7 linked regions of the Kluyveromyces lactis genome follow. The main gene of each other region encodes a partner of the protein of the gene in region 2 in a complex. Links are inferred from orthologs where the notes say so. Each region holds a gene or a part of one and is shown on either strand. Other genes may lie near its edges.

Evidence for each region.
Region 1: the proteins of SPC34 (region 2) and SPC19 are in contact, whole or in part, in a cryo-EM structure (PDB 8Q84), measured with the Saccharomyces cerevisiae proteins. The link is inferred for Kluyveromyces lactis from reciprocal best matches to the Saccharomyces cerevisiae genes SPC34 and SPC19. Residues at the interface, in NP_012963.3 of Saccharomyces cerevisiae: Ile52, Glu59, Leu63, Phe64, Lys70, Gln71, Val73, Arg75, Gly81, Val82, Phe83, Tyr115, Lys118, Asp119, Ser158, Thr160, Phe161, Leu181, Phe201, Glu203, Thr207, Ile210, Met214, Trp221, Leu223, Phe226, Leu233, Asn236, Tyr237, Leu240; in NP_010487.3 of Saccharomyces cerevisiae: Arg45, Arg48, Leu49, Val50, Pro51, Tyr53, Asp54, Val55, Arg57, Ser58, Lys59, Asp61, Leu62, Glu65, Val66, Leu69, Val70, Leu73, Lys76, Leu77, Lys79, Ser80, Met81, Arg83, Met84, Gln85, Glu87, Leu88, Leu91, Gln92.
Region 3: SPC34 (region 2) and DAD1 share a complex: the UniProt entries of both Saccharomyces cerevisiae proteins name them as parts of the DASH complex. The link is inferred for Kluyveromyces lactis from reciprocal best matches to the Saccharomyces cerevisiae genes SPC34 and DAD1.
Region 4: the proteins of SPC34 (region 2) and DAD2 are in contact, whole or in part, in a cryo-EM structure (PDB 8Q84), measured with the Saccharomyces cerevisiae proteins. The link is inferred for Kluyveromyces lactis from reciprocal best matches to the Saccharomyces cerevisiae genes SPC34 and DAD2. Residues at the interface, in NP_012963.3 of Saccharomyces cerevisiae: Tyr23, Phe24, Lys25, Pro26, Pro27, Gly28, Ile29, Phe30, Asn32, Ala33, Arg50, Leu51, Ile52, Lys53, Asp54, Cys55, His57, Ala60, Tyr61, Phe64, Val66, Pro68, Gln71, Ser72, Val73, Val82, Val86, Ile87, Asp90, Lys94; in NP_013009.1 of Saccharomyces cerevisiae: Asp57, Ile60, Asn61, Ile63, Ser64, Gln65, Ala66, Ser67, Leu68, Gly69, Leu70, Leu71, Gln72, Tyr73, Glu75, Tyr78, Glu79, Trp83, Leu117, Val118, Pro119, Leu120, Pro121, Thr123, Met124, Val125, Arg126, Ile127, Val129, Gly131.
Region 5: the proteins of SPC34 (region 2) and DAM1 are in contact, whole or in part, in a cryo-EM structure (PDB 8Q84), measured with the Saccharomyces cerevisiae proteins. The link is inferred for Kluyveromyces lactis from reciprocal best matches to the Saccharomyces cerevisiae genes SPC34 and DAM1. Residues at the interface, in NP_012963.3 of Saccharomyces cerevisiae: Gly2, Ser4, Leu5, Cys8, Ile9, Asp11, Ile12, Ala15, Ser18, Met19, Leu22, Tyr23, Phe24, Lys25, Pro27, Gly28, Ile29, Phe30, His31, Ile34, Arg45, Ile48, Leu51, Ile52; in NP_011628.4 of Saccharomyces cerevisiae: Gln60, Leu64, Ile67, Arg68, Leu70, Ser71, Ile74, Ile75, Leu77, Asp78, Phe81, Thr82, Leu84, Asn85, His88, Glu89, Ala92, Asp93, Glu96, Gly99, Ser100, Leu102, Tyr103, Met106, Trp110.
Region 6: SPC34 (region 2) and DAD4 share a complex: the UniProt entries of both Saccharomyces cerevisiae proteins name them as parts of the DASH complex. The link is inferred for Kluyveromyces lactis from reciprocal best matches to the Saccharomyces cerevisiae genes SPC34 and DAD4.
Region 7: SPC34 (region 2) and ASK1 share a complex: the UniProt entries of both Saccharomyces cerevisiae proteins name them as parts of the DASH complex. The link is inferred for Kluyveromyces lactis from reciprocal best matches to the Saccharomyces cerevisiae genes SPC34 and ASK1.

What each region holds. Positions count from the first base shown.
Region 1 is NC_006040.1:1,583,709-1,587,971, forward strand, and holds SPC19 (Spc19p), read left to right. Parts: upstream 1-2,684; coding exon 2,685-3,146; downstream 3,147-4,263. Other genes in the region: lipoyl(octanoyl) transferase LIP2, read left to right, coding at 1-864; KLLA0_D18799g (uncharacterized protein), read right to left, coding at 936-2,339; RAV2 (Rav2p), read right to left, coding at 3,181-4,248. UniProt on the Saccharomyces cerevisiae protein: Component of the DASH complex that connects microtubules with kinetochores and couples microtubule depolymerisation to chromosome movement; it is involved in retrieving kinetochores to the spindle poles before their re-orientation on the spindle in early mitosis and allows microtubule depolymerization to pull chromosomes apart and resist detachment during anaphase.
Region 2 is NC_006042.1:1,997,723-2,002,079, reverse strand, and holds SPC34 (Spc34p), read left to right. Parts: upstream 1-2,448; coding exon 2,449-3,276; downstream 3,277-4,357. Other genes in the region: KAE1 (tRNA N6-adenosine threonylcarbamoyltransferase), read left to right, coding at 946-2,103; KLLA0_F21406g (WD repeat MDV1/CAF4 family protein), read left to right, coding at 3,703-4,357. UniProt on the Saccharomyces cerevisiae protein: Component of the DASH complex that connects microtubules with kinetochores and couples microtubule depolymerisation to chromosome movement; it is involved in retrieving kinetochores to the spindle poles before their re-orientation on the spindle in early mitosis and allows microtubule depolymerization to pull chromosomes apart and resist detachment during anaphase.
Region 3 is NC_006038.1:608,583-612,426, forward strand, and holds DAD1 (Dad1p), read left to right. Parts: upstream 1-1,792; coding exon 1,793-2,080; downstream 2,081-3,844. Other genes in the region: inositol polyphosphate kinase KCS1, read left to right, coding at 1-796. UniProt on the Saccharomyces cerevisiae protein: Component of the DASH complex that connects microtubules with kinetochores and couples microtubule depolymerisation to chromosome movement; it is involved in retrieving kinetochores to the spindle poles before their re-orientation on the spindle in early mitosis and allows microtubule depolymerization to pull chromosomes apart and resist detachment during anaphase.
Region 4 is NC_006037.1:699,596-703,626, forward strand, and holds DAD2 (Dad2p), read left to right. Parts: upstream 1-2,450; coding exon 2,451-2,849; downstream 2,850-4,031. Other genes in the region: SGO1 (Sgo1p), read right to left, coding at 130-1,914; NUP133 (Nup133p), read right to left, coding at 2,938-4,031. UniProt on the Saccharomyces cerevisiae protein: Component of the DASH complex that connects microtubules with kinetochores and couples microtubule depolymerisation to chromosome movement; it is involved in retrieving kinetochores to the spindle poles before their re-orientation on the spindle in early mitosis and allows microtubule depolymerization to pull chromosomes apart and resist detachment during anaphase.
Region 5 is NC_006038.1:998,470-1,003,017, reverse strand, and holds DAM1 (Dam1p), read left to right. Parts: upstream 1-2,186; coding exon 2,187-3,128; downstream 3,129-4,548. Other genes in the region: MRPS5 (mitochondrial 37S ribosomal protein uS5m), read left to right, coding at 1-210; cytochrome oxidase assembly protein SHY1, read left to right, coding at 591-1,703; high-affinity Cu transporter CTR1, read left to right, coding at 3,767-4,548. UniProt on the Saccharomyces cerevisiae protein: Component of the DASH complex that connects microtubules with kinetochores and couples microtubule depolymerisation to chromosome movement; it is involved in retrieving kinetochores to the spindle poles before their re-orientation on the spindle in early mitosis and allows microtubule depolymerization to pull chromosomes apart and resist detachment during anaphase.
Region 6 is NC_006039.1:1,464,482-1,468,351, forward strand, and holds DAD4 (Dad4p), read right to left. Parts: upstream 1,947-3,870; coding exon 1,728-1,946; downstream 1-1,727. Other genes in the region: ENT1 (epsin), read right to left, coding at 1-571; snoRNP complex protein NOP10, read left to right, coding at 1,333-1,506; oxysterol-binding protein related protein OSH3, read left to right, coding at 2,502-3,870. UniProt on the Saccharomyces cerevisiae protein: Component of the DASH complex that connects microtubules with kinetochores and couples microtubule depolymerisation to chromosome movement; it is involved in retrieving kinetochores to the spindle poles before their re-orientation on the spindle in early mitosis and allows microtubule depolymerization to pull chromosomes apart and resist detachment during anaphase.
Region 7 is NC_006039.1:1,071,303-1,075,528, forward strand, and holds ASK1 (Ask1p), read left to right. Parts: upstream 1-2,160; coding exon 2,161-2,817; downstream 2,818-4,226. Other genes in the region: SFK1 (Sfk1p), read right to left, coding at 340-1,266; MDM35 (Mdm35p), read left to right, coding at 3,068-3,322. UniProt on the Saccharomyces cerevisiae protein: Component of the DASH complex that connects microtubules with kinetochores and couples microtubule depolymerisation to chromosome movement; it is involved in retrieving kinetochores to the spindle poles before their re-orientation on the spindle in early mitosis and allows microtubule depolymerization to pull chromosomes apart and resist detachment during anaphase.

The sequences.
Region 1 (4,263 bases), on a different chromosome or scaffold from region 2:
GCTAAAACAATCAGACACTTGCAATTCGTTAAAGAGATCCCATTTGAAACGGGGATCGATATTCAGGAGAAATTTGTACGCGCTCATCTTGACATTAAGCAACTACAATCCAAGATAAAGAGAGAAATGACAAACTTACAAAAAGAACATAATGCCGAGATACAATTGAATTTTCACGAACAAATGATACTAGATAATATCAATCAGATGAAGCCAAATCCAATTGTGCTTACATTTCAATTTGAACCCACTTATACTGGCGGAAAACGTGTTAAGAAACAAATTACGGATGAACAGATCGCCAGATATGAAGGCTTTATTCCATCAAAACAGAAATATAATAAAAAACCCAAATTTGTGCAGGCTGAAAGAGGTGGCCAAGTGACGTTTCATGGTCCAGGGCAAATAGTCGCATACATCATTCTCGATTTAAAGACATTTCAGAACTTGCCGGCCAAATGCTTAGTTTCAACTATTGATAACGCGGCCATGAACGCATTAAAAGTAGTTCCAAAATTCCAAGGATCAGATGAACCATTGAATTTAATTACCCAAAAAACCAATGATACCGGCGTTTGGGTCTCTAATCAAGAAAAAATTGCCAGTATTGGCATACATGTCAGAAGATCTGTCACCTCACATGGTATTTGTATTAACGTTGACCCAGACTTGTCTTATATGAACAGTTTTACCATGTGCGGGCTGTCAGAAAAAAAAGCCACTTCCATAAGAGAACAAGTCCCTGATAGTTCTACCTCTGTTAATGATGTAGCAGTTGCATTCGTGAATCAATTAGCTAAACTTTTGGGCATTACCACAGTAGAGAGAATTCAACTTGATGATTTACCCATTTACACTGATTAGACGCATCACCCGTAGTCTGCAAGAAATGCTTAGATTAATTTTTACTTTAAGAATGATATTTATGATTAGTTTTACTTTGTTGCATATTTAAACACAGCAGCCAAAGCCCCTGCCGAGATAGAACTTAATAAAAGCAAGTTGGTTGTAGTACTGGGTAATTTACTACCTGTTGATACAGCTGGTAATTGTGCAGTACCATCGTCTTTCGTCTTTACCGGTTTTGACTTTGCTTGTTGTAATTGGGTATTTTTAAATATTTCGACCTCAAGACGTGTCTGTAATTCATCAACTTCACTTTTTAGCTGTTTGATCTTAGTATTTTTCAAGTCATTATTTTCCTTTAGGGAGTCATTAAGCTTCTTATTTTCTTGTTTTAATGCCTGTATTTCTTCATTATGGATGGTGGTTAGTTCTGCCTGTTGATTCGCAAGCTTCTGTTTAACGCTTTTCTGAAGTTTGACTAGTTGTGAGTCCGCTTGCTCCATTTTCATCTTTGATAGATATTCAAGCTTTGTAATATAATTAACGATGAAATTGTCAATCGATTTCAACTTTTCATATTCCAACTTTTCAAGTGTTAGATCTGTCACTAAGGTCTTGATGATATTAATCAAATTCGGACTTGTTCCGATAGAATTGTTTATAAATATTCCACTCAATATTTCCGTTTCAGACCCCAATACAGCATCTTCGAGGTCAAGATTATTTACATCTCCGAACATGGCGGCTTCGAACGCAGCTTTTTGAGCAGTTGTTATCGTGACCATTGGGTCTGGAATCCCATTGTTTGCAGGTGTACTCCTGAAATCTCGTTTATTTGATACTAGTAGTTTATCGTTTTCGCCAATCAACGGTATCACTGAAATGTCCTCCACTAATGCACTTATTTTACGATGTTCAAGCTTTGTGTCTATATCCGTCCCTAAATCTATCACATCCCCCACTTTGATTTCAACATCAGTTTGACCGATCCTACTACCATTCACGAAAGTACCATTAGATGATTTCAGATCACGTATACATATTTTACCAGTTTTAGCATCACACGATAACGATGCATGGTTTCTTGAAAGCACTCTAGAATCAAAATTTCCATTATCAGCTTTCACCTGTGGATCAGCTTTGCCGGAAAGTCCTCCGTTACTTCCAGAATTTGAAGCTCCAATGACAGGTCGTCCCAATTTTAGTCCACTGGGCTTGAATGGAACTACTAAGAATTTAGTCTCAAATGTGTTGTTCAACGATTTTAGAACCAAAACATGTGTGTATTTGTTTCTGGCCTGTGTTCTCTCATCTTCAGCGGAAGTCAGTTTATTAAGAGCGTCATTACTTGAATTCAAACAGTTGTCATTCGAAGAACCGTTGCTGCTTGAGTTGGAACGAGCTCTTCTTCCTTTTGTTTTTGATGTGCTTGTGTTATCGTTACTCTGGTTTGCTGAAAGAGGATCCAATCGACTTCCTTGTTTCTCAGTCATATTCACTGCTTATAAGAACCCAATTAAACCATATGCAAAAAAAGGTAGTGCAAAGTGCAAGTTCTTATTCGGCTTCTGATTCACTTCAATGGAGAGACTGCCTCGTAGCAAATACTGCTGAAGCTGCTTTACCACTTCTGTGAAGATAATACTAAAATCATGAAACTGAGAAAAGAATGGACTTAATTTCAATCACAATTATTTTAATTCACCACATAGAAAAGAGGTAAACAAACATTACGCAACATACACATGAAAACACAACACTTCACATAGATCGGCAGGATTGTAATTGGATAACGCACTGTGATAATTTGGCATTGTTATTTGAGCTGATTTGACACAATGGAAGAGGTACTTTCGGAGGGTGTAGATGCTTTAGCAGCATGTGTCGATGACATGGCGAAATGTTTAACCGTATCTAAGGTCACTACAGATAGAAGCACTAAACTTGCTATAAATATGCTACAAACTAAGAGGGTATTCCAGTTGGTATCAGAATATGATGTGCAGAGGGCCAGACTTGATTTGATGGAGGATATAGAACCATTGTTACAAAAACTATATAGTAAACTGGAAAAAGCTCTAACCAAATTGGAAAGGGAGCGGGCCACTCTATCACAAACATTCGAATTGAATAAACTACGATTCAACAATCAAGAAAGTAACCCCATCATAGATAATGTGAAATCGGATCCAGTTGTAATAGTATCCTCGACACATGAAGAATTGGAACGTCTCAAAGACTTAAAGAATCGTAAAGAAGAACTGATACAAAGAATACAGGAATTGCATGAAGAGAGATAAATAAGCATACGCCGACTCTCTATCTATCGCATTGTTAACTTAAATTTTGAATATTTACAAAGTGATTGCTGATTTTGTTTTCAAGCCCGTTCAACTTTGCACTGACACTAATCAATGTAGGATCGCTGGTGGTAATTGAAACTTTCTCGCATTCAGTGACAACTCGCCCGTTAAATGTCACACACCTAGCCAATAGATCGCTTGCTTGCGGAAGAGTGATTCTTTCAGTTGCTGAAAAACTGGATATCAAATTGTTTATCATAGATGTTTGTTCAACTTGCAAGCCTTCTTCCTTAAGGATCTCTGCGATTTTTCCATTTCTGTCTTGCTTCAGCCTGTCTCTGACTTTATCACTGAATGATAACCCAGTTTTCGAATCGATCTCACTCCAGGGTTTTTTAATGACTTTTGTCAAATTCCTAATGTCCAAGCAAATCTCGTTTTTGAATAGCACTAATTCCATATTGACCAAATGATGTGCTGATTCACAAATGTCATGAGATTCAGAGAAGTTGTCGTTTAAGAAGCTGTTGTTATTATGCGGAAAGACCAATTCTCGTGGAGGATTTTGTAATAATGTAATAGATTGTGTAAGTAACTCCAATATTTTCCCAATTTTATTGTGAAAAGTATGAATATCATCAAGTTTCATATCGTGTAATTCGGAAAGTTGCTGTAATTCGTCAAATAAGGACAATACGGATGATAAATTTGTAATTATGGCATTTATTTGAACTAAGGGAAATTGTTTATCAAGGTCCATCTTTAGAACTATTGGTTTACCCCTGCTAAAGTCTGGAAGCTTAATGATAGCCTGAAAATCCACTATAAATCCGGCCTGTCTAGTGATTGTCCCTTTAATCGATGTGCTGTCTGGCGCGGCACCTGATGTGTTAACGGAGACACTATTCCCATTGGTAAGAGGCATTCGAAATTTCTCAGGACTAGATAGTTGGTTTATGCATTTCTCAACATGGTCCATAACGTTAGGTAGCTCAGGCTTTATGATTTCTTTAATCAACCATGTCTGTTGTAACAAAGAGCTCTCCTCATATGTAGGAGCATTTTTATATGCCCCATCATTATATAATTCCGTAGTCATCTCGGATTTATGCAA
Region 2 (4,357 bases):
GAGTCTGTGAATGTCATGTGATCGGCGAATGAAGTCTTGAAGACCTCAGTTGCTAACTGATTTGCATGTTCAGCTCCTTCCTCTAGATTGAGGCTTCATACCTCACAGTGGTGTACGTATTTTAGAAGGTCTTTTATCAAACATTGCTGAAAGTTTATACTATCCCCCAATTAATTGCCCAATGGCAATTAATTCATATATTGAAGAAGTATTTATAACATTCTGTTGTTAATGATAAATATAAAGAGGCTAATGAGATAAAATTAGCTCAGGGAGTTTCACTGTCGTAGTAAAAAGATTTCCGCTGGTTGCAATTAATAAAAGGTATTTTTGCGTTGATTCAAAGGGTGAAATCCATTAATAAATTATCCAAAGATGCACATTGTTAGCACGTGGTTTCGGCTTCCGTACATAAATTAAAGGGAATTCAAGCAACTCAACGAATTAAATAGCTCGCGTGGCGTAATGGCAACGCGTCTGACTTCTAATCAGAAGATTGTGGGTTCGACCCCCACCGTGAGTGCTTTATTTCAAAATCCGCGATAGTTTAATGGTTAGAATTCGCGCTTGTCGCGTGCGAGATCGGGGTTCAATTCCCCGTCGCGGAGATCTTTTTTCATATCGAATCTGAAAATACGTTCTGTACACAATCTTTTCCCCTCAACGAGTGATTGACCAGCTATGACTATGTCTTGCAGTTTGATACACTTTTTCTGTTGTTGCTCCTCTTACTATGCTATCTTTTACTCACAAAATTGGTGTATATGATTTTTTGAAAAATTGGAATCTGAGAAAACCGAAAAGTTGAACTGAGATGAGTTGACTATCTTGATCTGTAATACAACTCCCTGAATATATAGTGTGTCTCACCAGTTCAACGTGTGTTCGTGCGATATTCATTGAAGGTATACCTATTATCGTCAAAAATTCTTTTTTCAGTAAGAGATGGTGAATTTAAACGGCATTCCACCAAGAGGTAAAAGGAACTATTATTTGGCAATTGGTCTTGAAGGATCTGCCAACAAGTTAGGCGTTGGTATTATCAAGCACCCAGTGCTAGAAAAACATGAAGATAGTGACCTTTCGTATGAGTGTGATGTTGAAATATTGGCTAATATTAGAGATACATATGTGACACCGCCAGGAGAAGGGTTTTTACCAAGAGATACTGCAAGACATCATAGGAATTGGGTGGTACGAATCATTAGAAAGGCATTAACGGAGGCCAAGATCGATGATCCCACAAAGATCGATGTGATATGTTTCACTAGAGGACCTGGAATGGGTGCTCCTTTGCATTGTGTGGTTATAGCTGCAAGGACTTTGTCATTGATGTGGGACATACCATTAGTTGGGGTTAACCACTGTGTGGGGCATATCGAGATGGGGAGAGAGATCACAGGAGCTAAAAATCCTGTCGTGCTCTATGTTAGTGGAGGTAACACTCAAGTTATTGCTTACTCCGAGAAAAGATATCGAATCTTTGGTGAAACGTTGGACATCGCCATTGGGAATTGTTTAGACAGATTTGCAAGAACTTTGAAGATACCGAATGCACCATCGCCTGGTTACAACATTGAACAACTGGCTAAACAGTGTAAGAATAAAGAAAAATTAGTGGTATTACCATACACTGTTAAGGGAATGGATCTGTCAATGAGTGGTATTTTGCAATATATTGACACTTTAGCGAAAGACCTATTCAAAAAGAACTTGAAGAATAAATTATTATTTGATTCAAGAACAGGAGAACAGCTTGTGACTGTAGAAGACCTATGTTACTCTTTACAGGAAAATTTATTTGCCATGCTTGTGGAGATTACCGAACGTGCAATGGCCCATGTAAACTCAAACCAAGTGCTAATAGTGGGTGGTGTTGGATGCAACGTTAGGCTTCAAGAGATGATGGCCCAAATGTGTAAAGACAGGTCCAATGGACAAGTACACGCAACTGATGACAGATTCTGTATTGATAATGGTGTGATGATTGCCCAGGCAGGCCTATTAGAGTACAGAACAGGCCACTTTGTTAAGGATCTTTCTGAAACCATTGTCACGCAGAAGTTTAGAACCGATGAGGTTTATATCGCATGGAGAGAATAATAATAGCCAATTCTGATTTTCTTGTTTATTTATCATCATATATAGAATAAAGTAAGCAATAGTTCTCGCTTAGCTTACCCCGATGTAAAGGCCGCATGAGCCTTAAAAGTCTTCTGTCAACCTTTTCCATTAACATAATGCCAACTCTTTTCACGTAAAGATTTCGTAAACACCGAAAACAAAAAAACTAAAATGTAAACATAATCGAGTTAAAAGATAAATGAATCATTTGGAGTATTTCAAGAAATTACATAGTATTGGATGAAATATTGTATTCCATAGCAGTTTCCTGAAAGAGGGTGGTGCCTAATCTGTACGTGTAGTGTTTTTTAACAACATCAAAGGATGTCTGGATCATTAGATTACTGCCTGGATCAGATATCAAAATCCGCGGAGTCAATATCGACCTTATATTTCAAACCGCCAGGCATCTTTAGAAATGCGATTGTACCAGGCAACAGCAAAGTGTACTCAGATCTTATAGTAAAGCTTATAAGAGATGGCGATTCAATTGAAGAAATGTCATTATACAGTACAGATAACGATGGAAATATGAAGCGTAAGGATGGGAAAGTAGGGATATACGATCATCTCTTGGAGAGGGAAGCAACTTTGAAACGGAACAGAGCACTATGTTTACCAGATCCAAGACCTATTACCTACATACCGAAGGGGTTTTATCTCAGTCAAAACGATCATGTCATCCGAAAGAAACAGAAACCTGCAAGAGATTTTATCTTCGAAGGAAGTAACAGCGATGAGCTGGGAATCTACGACGTGCTATTGAAAAAATTCAGCAAGGACGAACAAATCAAGCAATTTCTTCATGCATTGCGGAATGGAAGTGTGATAACTGGCGAGGATGTATCAAGAAGGAAAACTCTTTTCGTAGAAGATTTCCCAATCTCGATTATATTATCTGTGTTCCGGGAAATTATAGATCAATGGCCTCTCACTGAATACAAGGAGAAATTTGAAAAACTAATGCAAATATACAATGGATTACAAGCTGATATTAATGAACTTCAGAAGAAAGTAGAGATCCAGGAGTTAGACTTCCAACACGAAGCGTTACCGGAAAAAACGTCAATATCATCTCTCATCGATAAAGAGGAGAAAGAAATACAGAAGCTCGAGAAACAGTTGGACCTTTTGGAAGGGAGAAATAAGTGAAATCTAGCAGCGGTACTAAAAATCCATTTGATACATTAATAAGTTATATCCAAGAAAAACCGATATGCTTGCCGAAATGAAGTGGAAAGATATATTTCACACTTCGGGAATTAATCTCGCACTGGAATGGAAATATTCATGTAAGTTTCAGTTCAGTATATATCATTTTTGTATTATTAAGGTTCTAATTTTATGATAACGAAATATATCGTAGTTCCATTTCTACGGCATCTTGCTCTTCTACAGAGAATACGGTTTTCGTTCTTTCATATGATTTTATTGCTGCAATGAAAGTTCTAATTTCAGAGTACAAAAAAGTAGATACATGGAAACAAAGAGTTGTTAGTTCCTATTACAACTTCAAATCTTAAAGAAACATATGTTGCGAGCAAAAGCCTCGATAAGAGTGTTAGTGGTGCCAGAACTATGAGTTCTAATACGGGAGACCAGTTTGCCAATCTGGGAAAGGCACTGTCTACCACGGCGTCTGTTCTATTCTCGTCGCAGCCGATGGAAGACACAATTCTTTCATACAGTAGTCCATATAAGAAATTGCTTCATGAGACAATTACTAATGCAGGTGGGGGATCATCACTAGTTAAAGTACGCCACGACGTGAAATTATCTAAAGGCAAGAATACAGGTTTCCAAGATATATATTCCAATAGCAAAGAGTTCTTTAAAAACTCTTATAGTGATCCAAAAACAACATTCAAAGTTTTAAGTTACTTGAGTGATGATCTACTTGAAGACGCCCCACGAGACACTATACCTCAGAACAAGAACATGATAACAGAAAATGGCGAGAAAAGATCTGCAAAGTCAAAAAAGCAAGAACCGACGTTATTTCAAGGATTTGAAGCATCTTTACCTGTTATTAATGAAACGATAGAACTACAGCAAAAACTTATAATGAATAGCGATATGAAACCCTTAACAGACTCTGAGTCCATCCCAGTTTACGCTGAAGAAGAAGAACAAGAGGAAGAGTTTAGTTTGCCAGACCATTTAAAAGCTGATAAACTTCTGCATTCTTACTCCGCATCCTTCTTGAAGGATGCCTCGAGGTCAATCACCGATA
Region 3 (3,844 bases), on a different chromosome or scaffold from region 2:
GTGCCCATCAGTTCTTGATTTGAAAATGGGCACCAGGCAGTATGGAGTTGATGCCAAGAGATCCAAACAGCTGTCACAGCGTGAAAAATGTAAAAAGACTACTTCGAGGAAGCTTGGAGTGAGATTATGTGGGCTAAAGATTTGGGATAAGAAGCATAATTATTACATTACAAGGGATAAGTATTACGGTAGAAAGGTAAGAGTCGGTTGGCAATTTTCTAGAGTGTTAGCAAGATTCTTATACGATGGCGAGTCGAAAAGAAGTATCGTTAAGCAAATTCCTATCTTGATTCAACAATTAGATACTTTATACAGTGAAATCGCGAAGCTGAAATCATACAGATTGTACGGATCATCTTTGCTCTTATTTTACGATGGCGACAACCCTCAGAACAAACGATCTCGGGTGAAGGTAAACATTATAGATTTCGCTAGGTGTGTCACTGATCGTGATATAGAAAAGTCACTAGATCGTTTTAAGATTGCACCTCATTTCCCAAACAGAGAGGATCAGGGATTCCTTCGAGGTATAAAATCCTTGAAGTTCTATCTAGTTCATATTTGGAATTTTTTAACTAACGACGCCGCTATGGTCCAACATGGAGAGCAGCTAACGCAGTTTTTGGAAGATAATATAGACAAATTCAATTCCAACTGGGACTGGCTAGATGAATACGATAAAGAAGATGACGCCGAGGCCTGCAATGCGGAAAGTCCTTTGCGCGTAAAATGGCGGAAATATGAATTGATCTTTGACATTGAGCCCAGATACGCTGATGACGAAGTCAGCGACTAAGGCCAATCATTTGAATAAGAACCAAATTTTTTTACTCTCAATTACAACTACATCCAAACGACATATTCTTGTTAGTGCAATACAGCTTCAGCATAATTTATATATAAGCTTGTACGTAACTACCGTGTAAGTATAATTCGGTTTTTGCTTTGCAGCTAAGGCTAAAAGTCATAGGTTTTAGCATTGTTACCTGGTGGAAAGTTGCGGGCTACACGAGTCGATTGTTGTGGTTTGTATTTGTTTGAACAACGATAGGGTTATATCGATATAATTTTTGAAGATCGGATAACAGAACTTAAATTGTTCAAGACTGATAAGATTTATTCTCCCAGCTTAGAGAGACTAGCCAAGAGTTGAAGATGCCTTGGCCAGCCAAATATACTGGTTGATTTTTACTTGCCCTTTTACGCTAAAGAAACTTTCAAGAACTATGTAATATGGTGAAAGAGTAAGCATTCAATAACTTTTTCCATTTTATATCCGAGAGAACATCGGTAGGGTAAGCTGAATATGATGTGAAAGGGCAGTCAGTCGTATTATATAGCTTGGCGTGAGATGAAGATCGTTTGCTAATCCAGGTTACCAGTATTTCGCTTAAAATTAGTGGTTTCTTACATTTGCTATGTCTTTCAAACGTCTGTATATGTGCCAATGATAATCCTTGCCGGTAACATCTTGATTTCATATTTGAAGGTAAATTGGCAGTGAAGATTCAAATACCGCAGATCGCGATATTCGCCTATTTTAATGTCTAATTGAGCTGCTAAATGTTCCAATTACCTAAGCTTTGGAGCCAGTTGGTTCTCAGCGATACACCAGGTTTCTGTCATCAACGACTTAGTATCTTTATGAGAAGCGGACAGTTTTATTAAAACATTTAGATCATGGAAATACACGAAAAAGGTAAACTGATATGCATTGTATATCGAGGGTCATCGGAAAATAACAGGAGTCCCGATTTGCATACACTGAGGGCCCAACATATAGCAAGCAGCAATGACAGAAGAGGTTCAACAGCTATCGACAGGCGACAAATATTTCATCGAGCAAAGAAGTCTGATATTACAAGAGATCAACGAAAGCATGGATGCCATTTTGAATCAATTAAATGGGTTAAACATTACCCTTGAAAATAGTATAGCAGTCGGGAAGGAATTTGAAAACGTATCACAGATATGGAAACTGTTCTATAATGGGCTTGAGTCTGAAGAACAGAATATGGAGACGGTAGGAGTAGCAGATTCTGAACATATTACGGAGGATGTCAATCCTGAAGGGAAATAGAGAATTGGTTTTATATCAAGAAAGGCACAAATTGAGGAACTTGATAAGCTTTGCAGATAAAACTTACCAGCCAATGAACTACAGCAACGTGTCGCATCATAAGTATTTTTCATCAGTTGTTTGTTCTAGAAGTGTGCTTCTATAGACGGTATATATATGTAGACCGTTTGGTACAGGATAAAAAGAAAGTTAAGAACACGCCACATATTTTTCATCAGTTTCTGCTTAAATTTCGTGCGTCTTCTACTAATCTCTTGATTTGCATCCGAAGCTATACTTGTATTGAAGGGAAATGGGGCAATATGTTTAACACCCTCGAGGAAAACAAGTGCATACTGACAGAAGGGATTGTGGCATTTAGCGTTACTTTTTGCTGGGCAACAACAAGAAGTTGGTTCCTTGGCCCAGTTGGTTAAGGCACCGTGCTAATAACGCGGGGATCAGCGGTTCGATCCCGCTAGGAACCATTCTTTTTTTCAAAAATTCCTCTCTTTCTTAAGTATACAATGTAACGCTGAACCTCTTAATAATACGGAATATCTTCCATCAGTCAGTCGAAGTGAGCAAATGGAATATTATCACCCACAATGGTAATGCTGGTCCCCCTGCCTACGTTATTATCCTATATTCTCTATCTTTAAGTCCAATGCAGCTTGACGCGACTTTTCTCTTTTGAGCAAAAAACAACTTTCTTCAATAGAAAGAGAATCTGCAATTTGATGTTTAAACAGATCAAGTTCTGGAGGAGTAAAACAGATGTTTGGTCTTTAAATAGGCCTTTGGTTCTATTATAGAATATATGATGGGTGCGGAATCACGATCGGTATTTGTGTGATGCAATTTCTGGGGTGGTAAGGACCAGTGCCACACTTGGGTTTGATTTTCCTCTCATCGAGTTTCGTGTGCGCATGTTCGTCTCTCACATCGAGTTATACTCTCATCTTCTATACATTAGAAGGATGCATCAGCAGTTTGATCTGCTGAAAGAGTTCATACACCCAATTATTGTTTAAAGGCCTGGTGTTGGGTAGTATTTCTAACGGATTTTAGAAATGCTATGACAACAATACCTTTAGAATTATATTGTGTGGATATTTACTTCTTGTTAAACAGACTGTGACATATCTCAATGAGAGGGGATTATTCTCGTTTTTGGAGTTATTCTGATGCCTGTTGCTCTTGCTCCTACGCATAGAAGCATAGCATTGAACTCCATGGTGTGGTACTTCAAATCCGTACACCACATACCTAATCAAAACCGCCTCGCAACGGCTTCCATATTCTCGTCTGTATTCAATCGTGGATAGTGGTTTCAGCTCGACGTGGGTATGCTAGTGACTCAGAGTTTGGATGTACTAGGTTTCATAAGGATACCCAACTGGAAATGTTGCGGAAATATCACATTCGTCCTTGCTCCATTGTTAACTCAGTGTCACTTTAGGTCCTATGGGAAACAATGTTGAGCTGATGCATTTTTCCGTCAAGCCATTACCGTTCTTCGGGATGGCAAGGATTAGCCCTTCCTATTACAGGCTTTATAATGGAAAACTCTTAAGATATATTTCTAGGTTTTTTTCCATGACAGAGAATTAAGCCTGTGGTTCATGTTGATATTCCAGAATACGCAACAATTGCTGCGTATTCGGTAGGTTTCTTTTTAGTGATTTTTCCAAACCCATTCTTCTCTTCGTTAGTATATTTGACTCGGTTCTATTTCAATGTGTCGCATTGAAATAGAAATCCTTTGTGCATAAAATCATTTAC
Region 4 (4,031 bases), on a different chromosome or scaffold from region 2:
CTAATGTATGTACTTAATATTATCTATATCATGCTCAAATACCGGAAAAAAAAAAAGATTCATATGATATGTGCCATATGCTGGTATCGAATGTTGGTATGGGACGGGTTGAATGCTGAGGTAGTTCTATCATATGCTTATTTCGTCATTATGAATTCTTTTACGTTTTTTGTTCATGTCTTCTTTTGCTCTGACACGATGTGTCCTGGATACATGTTTCAGAGAAATTCCATCTATAATTTCAAATGCTGCTAGATCTGAAGTAGCCTGTTTAGTTCTTGTCGGTTTCACGTTGCTATTTTCATTTTCATCAGATACATTTGGATCGGACGAGTTGTTTTCAATAGCTTGTTGCTTTGTGGGCAATGTGTTGAACTTGACATCTTTAAGCACTCGCGATTTAGTGTGGCTTATTGCTTTTACGGCAGTAGATGTTTTAACTTTTCTGTTGATAGCGTTAGCTGATAATTCTTTCAGAGCGATTTTAGGTTTAACGTTTTGTGCAAGGTGAATCTCATGTAATGGTAAAGCCGGTGGTTCCTTTCTGTTCTCTTCTTCCACTGTTGCAATGACGACATTTGTGTCAGGTACGCCAGCAGGCACTAAGAGTTCTTCCTGATCATCGTCATCAGACGGTATTCCCTGTTGTTGGTTATTTCTACGTTTCACTTGTAAATCATGAATATCGGTGACAGTTGTGGCATCCACCAATTTTTCAGTGGGTCTACGCATCTTAGCACGTAGTGATGGGAGTTTATAGTTGACAGCTTTGCCTCTAGTCCTTCTTTCTCGTTTTTCATCATCTTTATCGTAATCTGTGTGGGGCATAATATCATCTTGGCCACCTTTCAGTTTCGTCCTAGGATGTTTCATGGAATGTTTAATTTTCGATTGTGATGGGATTGTGCACTGGACGATATTCATTGAGTCATCAGCCTCATTGTTGTTTGTCTCTTCTCTGTCGTTGTATACATCAATTTTCGATTTCGACGTTTCCAGTAGGATATGTGAATGCTCGTGAGTTGAAGTTTCCTCTGGAATGGAATATTCAATGACTGATGTAGTGAAATTGTAAGAATCATCTTCGGCAAGTGCAGTTTCCATTTCTGTAGTATTATTTTTATTGGTATTGCTACATTCAGTGCCTGTGTTAGTAACAGATGGAAGGACCGGTACCAAAGGTATCGTAGAGACATTCTCTTTTCCCTCGTCTTCACGCTCTTCTTTTGTATGCTTGTTCTCCTGAGACTCTTCCTCAGGTACTGAGGTGGCTGCAGTACTAGGCGGCGGTTCATCCTCAGTTATCGGCAGTTGATTCAGTTCTAGTTCCGGGTCCTCATCGTTAAACTCGAAATCTGCAGGAATGAACAACGACTCTCTCCGTGAACTCTTACGCCTCCTCTTTCTCAGAGGTCGTACCTCATCATCATTCAGCTCGAGACTATTCCCGCTATTTTCATGGTTATCTTCCGCAATTGGATCCTCAAACCCAACTGGTTTCGTTGTGGTATTTGCACCAGTAAACTCCACTTTCTTCGCAGATCTCGGGCTTATACCATTCGAGCCTCTCAAAATCGGTTTAAGAGGGTTATCATGAATACCTGATTCTAAACCCTGGCTCTCCCGTACTGTGGTCAACAATTGGTTCATTTGCAAGAATTTTTCTACAATTCCGTCCTCTAACGTCTGGAAAACAGTATTGAGCTTCTCACGATAGCGCAATTCACCCATAGAAAGCCGCGACCGTAAGGAAACATTCTCTTGCACCAATTCACTCACTTTAGTCTCCATATCAGTGATTTTCATCATAAGACTGGAATTATATTTCGCAAGCTGACTGTTCTGCTGTAAATAAATTCCCTTTTGTTGCTCAAGCATAGCTTGAAATTCATCGTACTGCGAAGAAGCGCTCATGTTGCACTCTCACAAAACTTAGTAACACTATCCGCCGTCAATTCGGGTCCCTATAGACTTAGGAATCGCTCTTCTTTCAGTCAATGAACAGGTTATTTAAACGCTGAATGAGATCTAAAGCTTTGAATGTTTTCATTGTTTACGTTTTGTTCTACGATGTAAACACAAAAAAACAAGATTACCCGGATCATATTTAGTACTACATTTAATTCAAATGAGGTAAGTTGGACATGTAATGGGCAATTTGATGTTATCCAACCCTTCGTTCATTCTAAATAGCGGTGTTAATGCTTAGCGTAGCTTGTATAGATCAATCTCCCCTGATACAAGTCGGTTTTCTCGAGTTTTCTTCCTTTATTTCAATATCGGAATAATATGAAATCACGACTTTGAACTAATCTCTACAATGTGAATTCTTTCAAAGACTAGAAGAACCAAGAATTATCAGCTAAGATAGACACTTCTCGGAGCGAGTTGGATGATATATTCTAGCTGAAGAGTAAGAGGTTTGGGTCACCTGAAAAAAAGTTGTCAGTATGGCATTTGAAACCGAGATCGAGACTAAGAGAAGAGAATTGAATTATTTGAAGCATGTTTCTGCATTGACACAGAAATTAAAGGCTCAATTGGACGAGCTGAGCGTTCAGGTAGCGCAGATGAATAGCAATGCTGTGACTGTTAAAGACGTAATGGCTAATTGGGACTCGGTTCTTCGGTCTATCTCTCAGGCTTCGATATCTTTACTTCAGTATACAGAAAACGACTATGAGACTGGGAAATGGGCCAGTAAAGAGGAACATAGAAACCAACAGGGCGCTGAAGATGAAAGTGCTGCGTCAGAAAGTTCAGAAGATAACCAGCAGCGGCAACAGGATCAATTACCTCCGCTTCCGGAAACTTTGGTACGGGTGAAAGTTGCAGATGACGTTGAATAACGTTTTTATTGAATATATACATATGGTGTATAAACAGGTTTTATACTATGTACAATTAATTGGTGTGGCACCTTCTTCTATTATTGAATTAGAAAGATGTGGGACTTGTCTCGATTGTGTTAGTTGCGTAATTGATGACACATTGGTTACCGGTTTCCTCGTTGATTTCTCCAATGATGGATTGTAACATCGTAACGTCCAAATTCGAATTAGCGAAAAGAGCAACCTCTCGTTTGACGTCGCTAGCTAATTTATTAAGATCGGTTAGTCCATGGTACATGCCATCCAGGTATGAGTCAGTGATCAATTTCTCATTGGCCAAGTTGTCGATGATTGGAAGTTCGATACTTTGATGGTAGAACTGCTGCTTGAAAAAGACCCTTAAAGTTTGTCTAACCGCATTTTCATCGGATAAGAGACACCTTCTCCAGATCTGGTACTCGCAGTACTTTTTTACTTCAGTGGGTAACGTGTGATCAATGGCAAGGATACTCAATGCAAATCCATAAGAAGTATCTTGATTTAATAGTGTGAATAATTCTATCATATGCGGCACTGAGAGAGATTCTCTCCTCTTCACAGCATCGCTCAAATATTTGAACAAAGTTCGATAGGTGGTAAAGTCTTTGAATAGTGGGTTGAGAGTTGATTCTTGTAGTTCTTGGGATAGAAGAATTTGCCCATCGATGAGATCTAATTCGGTTTGAATTTCGTTTAGCTTTTCAAGATCTTGAACTTCCGCGGCAAGAGCTGTTAATTTGGCAATACTCAATTGTGCCTGTCTTTGTTTCAAATCTTGACCCAGCGATTGAGTTCCAGTAGAAATACTCAACAAAGTTGTAGTTGCTTCGTCGTATTTATGGCAATATATGTTTCCAATCCATTTAACTTTGCCATACTCGGGACATTCTCCTAAGAACTGGTCCAAATATTCTGAATGGGTTTCACCAAACGATTCGTAAAGATCATCCCATAGCCCTTCCTTGATATAGTAGGAAAATAAGGATTTTGCAAAGTCGTATCCGTATTTCTGGAAGAATTCATCGTATAGAGAGAATGCGGTAATTTTTGGCAGAGATTGCAAAGTTTCAACTAAGCCTTCAAAGTCTTGGTAAAAATCTGTGATTAGAATTGAATCCTGAGACCTGTTAACATCCCTAAGGACCCTATTCCAAAGTAAAT
Region 5 (4,548 bases), on a different chromosome or scaffold from region 2:
GGTCTAAGAGTCAATCACGTAATTTATGAAATTTGTGAATGTGCTGGTATCAAAGATTTAAGTGCAAAAGTTTACAAGAGTAGAAATATCATGAACATAGCCAAGGGTACTATAGACGCTATCACCAAGTCTCAAAAATCTATAGATGAAATTGCTCTAGGTAGAGGTAAGAAAATTGTGGATGTCAAGAAGGTATATTACTCTGCTTGATTTCAACCAACTCCATATTTAAATTACTTTCACTTTTTCTCCTATGAAGAAACTATCTGAACAACCTTCACATGATTCAATTACGACCTAGATGATCATTCTCATAAAACAATCAATACTCAGATCTACGTAACCTTGTACATATTAATATCCCCACAACGTCGGAGTTCCAAATTCTTCTTCACGTGACTTTTAGAATATTTCACACTTTTCTGATCTTTAAAAGATTGGAAAATGAAGATGATGAAAGCAGATGAGTAGTATATCTAATCGCGTATAAACATGATTAGAAAAGCTTTAACTTCTTTGCTGTTACTAATTGTTCAAACGCATTTCAATTCTTAGCGGAAGCTACTAGTATCACACAATTAGCAAAGCATATGTTTCGCTTCATTGTGGCTAGGCCATTCACTGTACCAAAGGTAAGGCCGGTAAGACGACTTTATAGCACGGTCAGGACATCGACTGTTGACTGGAAACCTATCAAAACAAAGAAGACACCTACTGAAGGATTTCAAAAGAAGGAATCACGATGGGGTAAGCGTATTTTTCTAGGACTGATGATTGCCATGCCCGTGATCTCGTTCTACTTAGGAACCTGGCAATTAAGAAGATTGAAATGGAAAACCAATCTAATTGCTTCCTGCGAAGACAAATTAACCTACGATCCTATTCCGTTACCTAAAACGTTTACACCGGATATGTGCGAAGACTGGGAATACCGCAAGTGTACTATGACCGGTAGATTCTTGCATGATGAAGAGATTTTTGTCGGCCCCCGTGTTAGAGGAGGGATCAAGGGGTACGTTTTATATACGCCTTTCATCAGAAAGGATACGGGAGAAAGAATTTTGATTGAACGTGGTTGGATCTCGGAGGAGAAAATCGTTCCATCATCTCGTAACTTGCAACATTTGTCTTTACCTCAAGGCGATAACGTGACAATTACAGTGTTAGTGCGTGCAGCTAAAGATTTGACATCAATGCAATGGAAGAAGGAAGACAGGGAGAGTAGATTGTGGCAAGTCTTGGATATTAAGGATATGACAGAGATGACACATACTTCTCCTATTCATTACCAAGCTCTTTACGATCTGAAAGATCACCATTGGGATGAAGAATCAAAATCTGAGGGTATCGATAACAAAAACCAATCATCTTGGAAATTCTGGTCTAAAAAGAAAACCGAAACAGAACCACAACAAGAAGAATCCGAGAAACCACACGTCAACACGAAGAAAGTAAATACAGCAGATTCGGAGACAGGATTGGAATTTAACGAGTTCCAATTCGTTAAAGCGGGAGTGCCTATTGGTAAAGCACCAAAGATTGATTTGAAGAATAATCATTTACAATATTTAATTACTTGGTATGGGTTATCTCTGCTTTCATCTATCTTCCTTATCATTGCACTAAGACGTGGTCGTGGTTCCGCTATGTCACAGGATGAAATAAAGAGGCAAAAGCTAAAACATGCCAAGAAGTTCATGTGATAAAGAAACACATATTGATATTCTCAGGAATTTCTATCTCGATCCCATCATTTCCTTCAATTTTCTAGTATTCGAGATACTCAAATTCCAATAAATTATATTCAAGCAGTTAATTACTAAACACATAGTAGTATCAACCTTGTTTGTACCTGTAAATACTATTATAGCTATTTTGAATGATTTTCATTCCTGTTGATGAATACTAACTAACTATCGTTGAAATACTTGTACATCGAAAATCGAAAACGTAAATAAAGTAAAGCAAAACAAAAACACGAACAGTAAGGTGTCTCCAAGCAGACAGACGGAATGCGATAGTGTCTCTTTGGGCAACCTGGTATCTAATTTGACATCTCATAGACAGTCTGAGGTAAATTCATTACTTGTTTTTTTTTTTTTTGACCTTTCATCTTAAATTCTCAGGGCTACTTGGCACTATTCCAAACTCAACATAAAACTGCTGGATTCATCTGCTCATAAGATATGTCTCAAAGGCCAAATACTCCACAGCGGGACAGGCCAACTGAATATAGACTATCTTTGTCATCTAATGCAAGCTCAAGAAGATCTAGTTTAGGCAACAACGGTCGAGATCAGCATGCGTCAAATCAAACAATGATTGAAAAATACGTGCTCCCACAATTACAGGAACTTTCGGACTCGATGGTAACACTCGATGGTAACATGACGCACATGAATTTCATTCATGAATCGATAGCGGATTTAAATGAGGCTCTAAGCGCTTTATTATACGGATTGATGTGTAACTCTTGGTGTGTTGATTTCCCGAACATATCTCATGATACTCCGCATGAATTGAAATTAATCCAAAGACTAGAAGAGTTGAAACAAGAAAGACAAGCACTACAGGCGAAACTCAAGCCAAAGGAACTTACCAAAGGAAGCATATTACCTCTTTCAAGACAACCTTTATCACGAGGTTCTCAGATGTTGTATCGTGATGAAAATGTGCCAGGTTCTACTGCAAGCTCGAATGTTAACATTGACATTAACGATGACGAAGATAACACAGCCGCTTCGTTTGTATCCAACCCAACTACTTTCAAACCTCAAATGATATCTTCAGTAGGAGCTTCAACTGACTTTATGGGAAAACAAACGGTAGGCTCCGCGTCATCGAAACTCAGAAGAAGATCCATTCTACATCAAATACGAAACAACGCTGCAATAGGCACTATACCTAATACACTAACAGGTATTACTCCTGGAGAAAGAAAAAGATCACTAGCAGTCAGTGCAAAAAGAATTCCTATCTTGGCAGGATCATCGACTACCGCTGGCTCTGCCTCTTCTGCTAATCGTGAATCTACAAATACAGAGCCCGCTCTACCGAATAGAGTTGTAAGAACAAGACAGAGAACCTATAATCCAAAAAACCTTGCAAGCAGGCCTCCTTTCAGGTAACGAGTTATTTGATACTTCTTACCAGAGCTTTTTTCTAGATACATATTCATACCGTGTGTATATCTACCAAACAATGTAATATTACAACGTCAGTTAACAAAATGAAGAAAAAAAAATTACTGAAGGTACTCAGTAAAGATTGAAGTGCTCTATGAGGCTGCTCTTACCGCTTATCAGTGATACATGAACGTTCTCGTTTCAAGTGAAGTCTCGTTCGATTTACTTTTATTCGAGTTGAGCTTATTGAGCAAATAAAGGCCGCCCTCTTCATTTCATTCTGCAAGGAATTCTGTGAAGAAAAATGACCGAAGTTACAGAGAACATAAATCAATGAAAGAGCTAACATAAAGAATGAGATGAGAAGATTTTGAGAAGGTATTGGTTGTACATTTTAAATATAAGAAAGTGGCATATAAGTGTTTAGCCATACATCTTGATCAGTTCCATTCTAGCTGCTGACGGTTACACACCAGAAACATTGATGTTTTTTTGTTGATTTTAACTCTTTGTTCATTCACGTATTGGGAAGCGATTGACGAAGAAAAGAATAACTGCACAGTTGGCTTGGGTTAATCAAAAGAGCCACAACCGACACTATCCAAAAACCCCATCGACAGATATCAATAAAGCCTTTCAACATGAATATGCACGCAGGTGATACTACCACCTCAGCCAGTGCCATGGCCATGAGTACTAGTACTTCCAGTTCTATGTCTGGAATGGACATGGATGGTGGTTCCGAAATGACTGGAATGAACTCTTATCTCACAAGAAAATATATGAACTATCCCGTTGTCTTTGAGAAACTCTATGCTTCTGATCGCGGTGAAGCATTTGGTATCTTCTTGCTTATCGTTGTTGCTGCCTTTGTATACAAATTCTTGTTATTTGTGAGCTGGTACCTAGAATTGAAATGGTTCAAGAAGGCAGGAGTCAATGAGGAAGCTGAGAACGATGAGGCTACAGGTAAGAACGTGTTATATACTATCGAAGATCTGGAATTACAAAGGCAATTCTTGCCAACTAGTTTCGGCAAATTCATGTTCAACGTTTTCGCCCCAGACTGGGTTGATTTCTTCCATGATTTTGTACGGTTATTGATCACTTTTTGTTCTACCATGATAATATATATGTTGATGCTTGTTGCTATGACATTCGTACTTGCATACGTGTTTGCTGTCATACTCGGGTTATCTCTGGCCGAAATCTTCTTTAACAGAATCAAGATCAACATGTTGAAGGCATGGGAATTGAAAAAGGAATGGGAAAGACGTTTCAAGCTTTGCCAATGTGGACCTGGCCCATCTGCCTCTACCGATGATACTAGGTCCTTTGCATCTAGCAAAGCCACTGCTGACGCCGGCTCTACTACACCTCTAAACACGTTTAAATCGTCCGAAAAAGTGCCAAAGAAAGTCGG
Region 6 (3,870 bases), on a different chromosome or scaffold from region 2:
TCAACTGTTTACGACGTCTCTCCTCTTCCTCCGCAGTGATCCTCGACTCCTCTAAAGCTCGTTGCAAATCGTCGTCATCTTCATTATCGTCACGTCTATTCTTCCTACCACCACGTTTCCTCCCCTTAAGCCTCATCATCCGTTCCTCCTTCAACCTCTCCTCGTCCCGTAATAACGCCGTCAACTCTTTCGCCTTCACTCTGACAATCTCACCGTTATCGATCTCGGTAAACTCATCGGTGTGTGTAAACTCACGCAACGTCTTAATAATGTAAAGGTTCTCTTTACACCAGAACACACAGTTCTCTGATCCGCATCTCACCAAGAAATCTAGACACGTTAGTGACTTGGCGACATGTCTCCAGTTCCGGCCTTTATCGTTTAATCTCTTGTCCAACATATCCATGATCTCGAAAAATTCCACGTTATCAAATGTCCTTTCAGCCAACTCTTCCAACTGATCAACGGACGGACCGTCCTTATCGTTAGAAGTGGCACTTCTAACGAGAACCTGAGCCTGAGAGTACCCATTGACTAAATTCTTTGCACTACGAAGAAATGCTTTGGACATCGTATAAATTTATCTGATCTCTTTAGTTTCTCGTAGAACTTACGAACCGAAACTCCTATATTACTGTTAATTTCGTTTTCAACACGATATACAACCTTCCGCTGTTTTCAACACAGGACCAAAATATATTATTCTTATCAGTGACAAGCCCTATGTCTATATCAAATTAAAGCTTTAATAGTCAATGTCTGTTCCTGTTCCTATTCCTATTCCTATTCCTATTTCTATTTCAATTTCAAATTTCGTTTTCGTCTTTTTTCATTTTTCCTTTGAAAGTTCCAGTTCCAGTTCCAGCTTCAGTTCCTGTCATAAAAACACTCATAGTAAGCAGGGTCCTTAACTATGTGTGGAAATGAGACCCCTTTTTTATAGGAGAGTGGCCGGGTAATACAAATAAAATACAAATAAAATACACACAGGTCACGTGAACACCCGATTACAAAAGTTTATCAATCAATCGATCATTGGAACCGATCCAGCCTCCTTCGTTTTACACGTGACTAGAAAAAGATAATCAAAACACATATCGCTACTTACGTTAGAGAATATATCATCAGATCACATGATACGAACTGGAATATTTCTTTTCCATCAAGTGCATCTGCTAAATTTTCAAAGAGATATAATCAGTTTTTCAACATAGCATTAACTAACTGATCGGTATAGCTCATCGCTTGAAAGAAAGTGTCTTGTTATCCATATATCTAGTTCCTTTTCACTTCCAACCAAAAGCATCTATCACACTCTACCCACTACCCACTATGCATTTGATGTACACTTTGGATGCCCAAGGCAAGAGAATCTATACTTTGAAGAAGATGACTGAGGATAATGAAATTACAAAGTCTGCTCACCCTGCTAGATTCTCTCCAGATGACAAATACTCCAGACAAAGAGTTACTTTGAAGAAGAGATACAACCTTTTGCCAAACTAAGGTCCCTACAAGTTGGAACACAATCCGCAGACAAAATTGCACCGGTTAAAACTCACTGAACATGAACAAAAAAAATTAATCCATTATTATCTGTAAATTAGAATCAGTACGGTCCTGAAACCGACTATAAAAAGGCGTATGTATATACGTACATACTACATCACTTAAGTAACTGCTTTTTTTTTTTAATAAATTCTTCTCGTTAGAATATATGTGAGACCTTACAATGGGTCCTGTTTCTTGGAAGTTGCCTGCAACTGGAAATCAACAGATTCTCTATAGTTCTCACACATTTGTGACATCAGTTCCAAATTCTTATTCTTGGTGTTTACCCTTCGAAGCTCTTGGTTTAGTATCACTACACTCTGGTTCAACCTTTCGACATTGCCAATGATTCTAGCCAGAATATTGCTTTGAACTTTCTCATACGGGTTTTCCATGGTATGTATCACAAATATAACTGATGACGGATAGTTATACACCAGTTTTGTAGCCTCTAGTGCCTGTGTTTTCCTTGTGGTTTACATTTTTGACCGATGTTTTGCATTTGAATACATGTTGGATGCTATTATAAACCTTTTTTTTTTTTTTTTTAAATGATGAAAATTAGTACCTGCCCCAAAGCAGCTTCTCAGTGAAAATGAATTAAAAAAAAGCTTGAGTATAATAAACTAAACCTTTAATTTGAAGTAAACAAGGATCCAAATTTCATCTATAACAGACTTCTAGTGTGCGTTTCGAGCTTTTGGCGGGCATCATATATCAATTTGGTGATAATTGCTGGTAACGGATATTGTCAGTTAAATTTCACCTGTGAATAATTACCATTCTTACTGCGTGCCTATCAGGTGTTTGTTGATCTTTTCCCCTGGTTAATCTCTCTTATTCAGAATTGATTTTTCAGCGAATAACCGACCGATAAAGGTAGATTGGAACGTCTACTTAGTTTCGAGAGTGATTCAATTGTAACTATTAAATTTTTTTCGGCATCAAACATGGATACTATTGACGTTCAAAATAAATCATTTGTTGTGCGTTGGCAGAAAGTTTCTCAAGGTGATATAGTTTCGTTTCGGTTGAAACCTTTGAAAAAATCGATAGGGTTTGGTATATACAGACGGTTTGGTGGATCATCCACGACTGATTTGAGTGAAACAAACCATGGGAGTGTAAAAGCTTCTTCGAATAGTAATACTAATCCGTTAATTCGAATTTCAACCGATGCCAAGCCTAACGTTGCCTTGGCAGATCACGAAAAGGACAAAAACGTGCCGTTGCAAACAAGGTTAGCACAAAGCGGTCTGGAAAAGGTGACCTGGTATGGGACCATTTCTAACAACGATACCGTTGCCGAATCGTTCGAATCAACTTGTGAGAGTTGTTATTACGCGTTCATTTTAGACAATACTACTTCGAAGCAGACTAAGAAAAAATGTTTATTTTCGGTGAGTATCAACCCTAGTGCATCGGCAATGGAAGGTTTGGATGACGATCAGGAATCCGTCATTTCAAACCAAGAGGAAAGCTTTGGTGCCAATGGGACGAATGGCAAGCGACCTTTGAATTATAGCCAAACGTCATTCAAGGATCCATCTTTGTCCTCATTAGCAAAATCGAATTCCAATCCATTTGCGCCATCTCCAGGCCAGACTACTCCAAGCACAATTTCCAACGTGGGTACATCTAACGGACCAAACACTAATTCTCCAGTGCCAATAAAACCACTGAGTCCAAGTTCTACATCCGCGACAGATCACGATTTGAAAAACAGTAAAGGATTCCAAGGATATTTACTAAAAAAGAAGAGAAAGAAGCTACAAGGTTTTACCAAACGGTTCTTTAAACTCGATATAAAATTTGGGATTCTCTCATATTATCTCAACTCTAAATCTCCTGTGTGTCGTGGTGAGATTGTTGTCCCACTTTCATCAATAAGTGCAAATAAGCAAACTAAACTTATTATCATTGACTCAGGCATGGAGATCTGGGTCATGAAAGCTCGTGACGAAAAAGATTGGGAACTTTGGATTTCAATGATCGAGTCATGTTTCAAACAAGACGCCCCAACTACTTCGCAAGATCACGAATCGCATAACGTTGTCATTCCTCCTGATAATGATACCACAGCATTTTTCCGCAATTTAACATCCCTAAGGAAAAGAATAGAAGAATGCAAGTATCAATCTTTATCCTATTCTAACTACACACCTAACGCAATAGTATCTCCCATTCAGGGCCCTCCGACATCTTCAAAGCAACAGAGGAATGTGTCACGGTCCTCGTCTGTTTCTTCATTCATGAACTCCTTTTCTAGGCAACGGAACGGTTCATTTGTAGAACAAGCTACCTCAGGCCATGATACTT
Region 7 (4,226 bases), on a different chromosome or scaffold from region 2:
ACTCTAAAACCAATTCATCACGTATATCAAAAAGTTCTTTTTATTGATTGATCTTTTAATTACAGTGTCAGAATGATTCAACTCTTCATAATTTGAAGCCATTTCAAAGTAACAAACCGTTATGTATCACTATGAACTTTATTTTTTTCTCTATCTCATAACACTTTTTAAAATTCCCAGAAGCCTGGTAATTTATTCTGTTCTGTTTATTCTATCTATAATATACTCTATTTTTTGTAAAGTTCTAACTAGTATTATCATTATGCTATATTTCAGAATATCCTTCCGAGTAGTTTATATTTACAACTTCATTAATAATTTCTTGAGAAACTAAGTGAGTTATAGTGCGTTCAACTGATTGTACTTGTAATAGTTCAAATTCTCCGTAATTGTGATTTGATGGAAATACTTGGACTGGGTATATCTTCCGCCAATATACCAGTCAACAGAGACAATAATGAAATATAATCCGAACCAAAATGCCAATAGCCATTCAAAACAGGCAGTCGTTGATCTATCTTCTAAGCATGCAAAACAAATAGCCCAAACGAAAGCAGCTATTACCCAAAATGCCTTTAGTAAGCCACTGATAGTATACTTGTTCCAAACATGGCCGTGCCATTCATTCCACCTTGTGTCTTTGCCGATATCTTCACTACTTGTAAGAGGATGGACGACAGCGTAGTGTCTGCCCATTGTCATATATTGTGCGACATGACAAATTACACTCAATCCGACAAATGCACAGAATATACCCACCATGGAACTGTGCACCCTAGGATACGTGTTTGTTGAGAAGATAGTGCACATAAGCAAAGCCAATTCACCTATACTTCCTAGTACGAATGAGGCCCATACTAGATTCCGTTCATGTTTGGTAAAAAATGGAGGCATGACATATTTCTTCTGAATTAAAGCTTCGATGTAGTTCGATTCCATTATAGAGCTATCGTTAGATTTTTCTAAGTCATCATGATAAGTATACGGTAACTTGAAAGGCCAATGACCAGATCTTTGAAAATACTCTAGAGCAACCATGATTACGTATCCTAGACCTTGCCATGCCGCACAAGAAATAAACAACGGTTTTAAATTGGTCGCACCAATATGGGATATATAAACCGGGAACTGGTCTGTATGCATGAACCAATAAATGGGATGACCTTGTCCTGCCCAACATGCCAACATCGCAATTAGCATCCCATACCATGGAATGAAAGCTATCCAGGGAAAGATAAACCAGTAGTTACCTGGACGTGGAAACATATTAGTATAGTCTTGCGGTTTACGTTTATACCTGTATCAAATCCAATCCTTATGAGAATGTCTACCAGTGATATTCTTTAAAGGAATGAGCTATGTTGACCTTGTCCCGTCAAATTCGGCTGGTATAATATACTCATTCTTTTCCTTATATATCTAAAACCCGACTTCCACGAATAAAAAACAATATAAACTATATTTGACATATTTATATATATATGCTTTTATATGGCATGGCTTGTGTATGGCACTGCAGTGATGCTGTCACTGATGCCTTAAATTACAACTTGCTATTCACTGAATGTAACTGTCAATCGGCTCGATGATACACTAGCTTGAGACACCCTGCGCGATTTCTGGGCGCTTTGTTGCGATATTTGCTCCAGTAAAAAAAAAAGGTTTTCTTTCGATGCTTTACTAATAGGTTTCGAGGCTTAAGAGCAAGGATGGATAACGTAATGGATGATATCTAATTTTCCACTCCGAGTAGGCAGAGCCTTCTAAGCCATTGATACCCTTGAATAGCAGACGTGACCGGTGTCCTTGAATCAGTACGTATTATGTAGTTTAGTTTATACTTTCAGCTTGGAAATATCGTAAGCCTCATCCGAATCAGCCTAGCGCTTCTTCGTTGATCTGCAGAAAGTTACCTTGGCATTGCAGAGACTTTCTTTATGTCATTTCAAATTTCTTCTTAGAGTTACAAGAGGAAATATGAATTTGACCAAAAAGTCAACAAACCGGTTTGACAGAAAGGATTTGGATTTGGAAGTGTAAATAGTGACGGTTACAGGTAACAGGACGCGGTGTCCGTTGTTATAAATATTACAGTAAACAAGGAAAAGGACGCAATTAGTCTGTGCCAATTAGCTAACACTAGGTTTCCTGTTTTACATCATGGATGCAGTGAATATTGAACAAATAGATCAAGAGATCACGTTAAATTTACAATCAATCGATTCAGACCTCTCGTACTGTTTCAACAAGATAACAAAGGATATAATACCGTACGTGACGCGATATGGACAGACTTGTGAAGATATCACGAATTCTAGTTCGTGGCTGAAAGAAATGTTTCAGCAGAGTGCTAATGTTCAGTTGGTGACGGATCAGGCTGTGGAATCTGCGGGTCAGGTTTTGGAGCCCCGGACTTCCTTATTTCCAGAGGTAGAAAACGAAACTGATGAGTTCCATACAGTCGATCAATACCCTGCTTTATCTCAAACCGGAGTAAGTTCCGCTGGTGCCCCCACCACGAAAACAGGAGGATCGGTAAAACAGGATCAATTTCAAGATCAGGATACCGATGAGTTGACTCAGGATAGTGCAATGGAAAAACAGAGGAAGAAGAGAAAAGTTTCGTTACAAATTCACCAACATTTCAATTCGTCGTCATCTTCTAATTCTTCAATGGAGAATGATATCTCTGCAAACAGTTCCCCAATAAAGACGATCCCCCCGGAAACAGAAACTGGGACAGAAACACATAACAAAATCCAGGGCGAATTGGCCAAGCCGGGAACCGTTATTCATTTTAACAGCAAACGCGATTGAAGCTCTGTCTTAGCCTTCCCCCACTCACTTCTATATCATAGTGTGTGAGGTATACATTGTTACTCAGGGTTCCAGATCCTATGACCTGAACGAACAATCACGTGATATAATACTTTCCTTTTTAGTTTCATGCTTCTATAGCTTCGTTTTCAATCGGATTTCTACATGGTGAATTTGACATTCTGATTATGTGCGATGCAGAGACTAAGTGAGTATTCATATACGATACAAGATACGCCACAAAACTACCATGGGTAACGTGATGAGTGCAAGTTTCGCTACAGAGTGTACACCTTTGAAGGGTAAGTACGATAAATGTTTTAACGACTGGTACAGCGAGAAATTTTTGAAAGGTGAGTCAATTGAAAACGAATGCCAAACCGAATGGTACGAATATATGGAATGTGTCCAAGCTAGCTTGGTGAAACAAGGCATAAAACCAGCTCTAGATGAAGCACGTAAGGAAGCACCATTCGAGAATGACGGAAAACCTGTAGAGCCTTGAATTGCGGACCAAAGAAACGCATACATACCTGCGCCATTCGCTATGATGAATCTAAGTATAAAATAAATTAAAATGGGTTTCATTTGAAACCTCTGTAAATAGAGAATACAATACAATACCTAGCGCGTATTTTTGACCACAGTAGGGTTAACATTACCAGGAGTTTCGACTGAAGTTGTACCACCGCTACGTGATTATACCTTAATCCTTTCTCCACCGTAAGTCAGGGCAACGTTCGTCCTTTGTGATATCTGCTGTGCAACTCTCTTAATTGGGGTAGCCTTCAGAGACACCTACATAATTCTGCATATAATAATTCAAACATATCACCTAAATAACTAAAGCACAAGAAGGTCCAGTATAATGACTGCTGTCATATTCTTGTAGAACTTCGTGCCAGCTCCATCTCACTGTTTCTATCTCCTCATTGCAGTACTAGAATAGAATATTCTGATTACCCTCCCTCCTTTTTTACCCTATTGCCACCAATAGAAAAATTGAAATAAGAACATTTTCGATAAAAGTAAAATTTGATTTCGAAAGATCTGGGAAAATAGGAAACAAATATTGTTAAGTTAGATAGCTTAATACTCCAGAGAAAGAGTTCAAGGATTGAAACGGCGTTTAAGAGTTCCATTTTTGTAACGATACCTATCTCGCGTGCTTTTCTTGTTGCGAGCAGATACTAAAATTGTACTTTTTTTGGAAAGAAATTATACTCAACATTTTCCAATAAAGCATTATAAAAAATTTGCATACTTGCTTAAACTTCTAAGATTAACAACAAGCAATCAGAACTACTTCAAGAGAACTACTACTACTCACGCAATCCAATTACAGATTATTACAATAACGATCGCCTTCCCTCTTTTGCTAGCAATAATTTAGGTTCGCACAGTTTTTA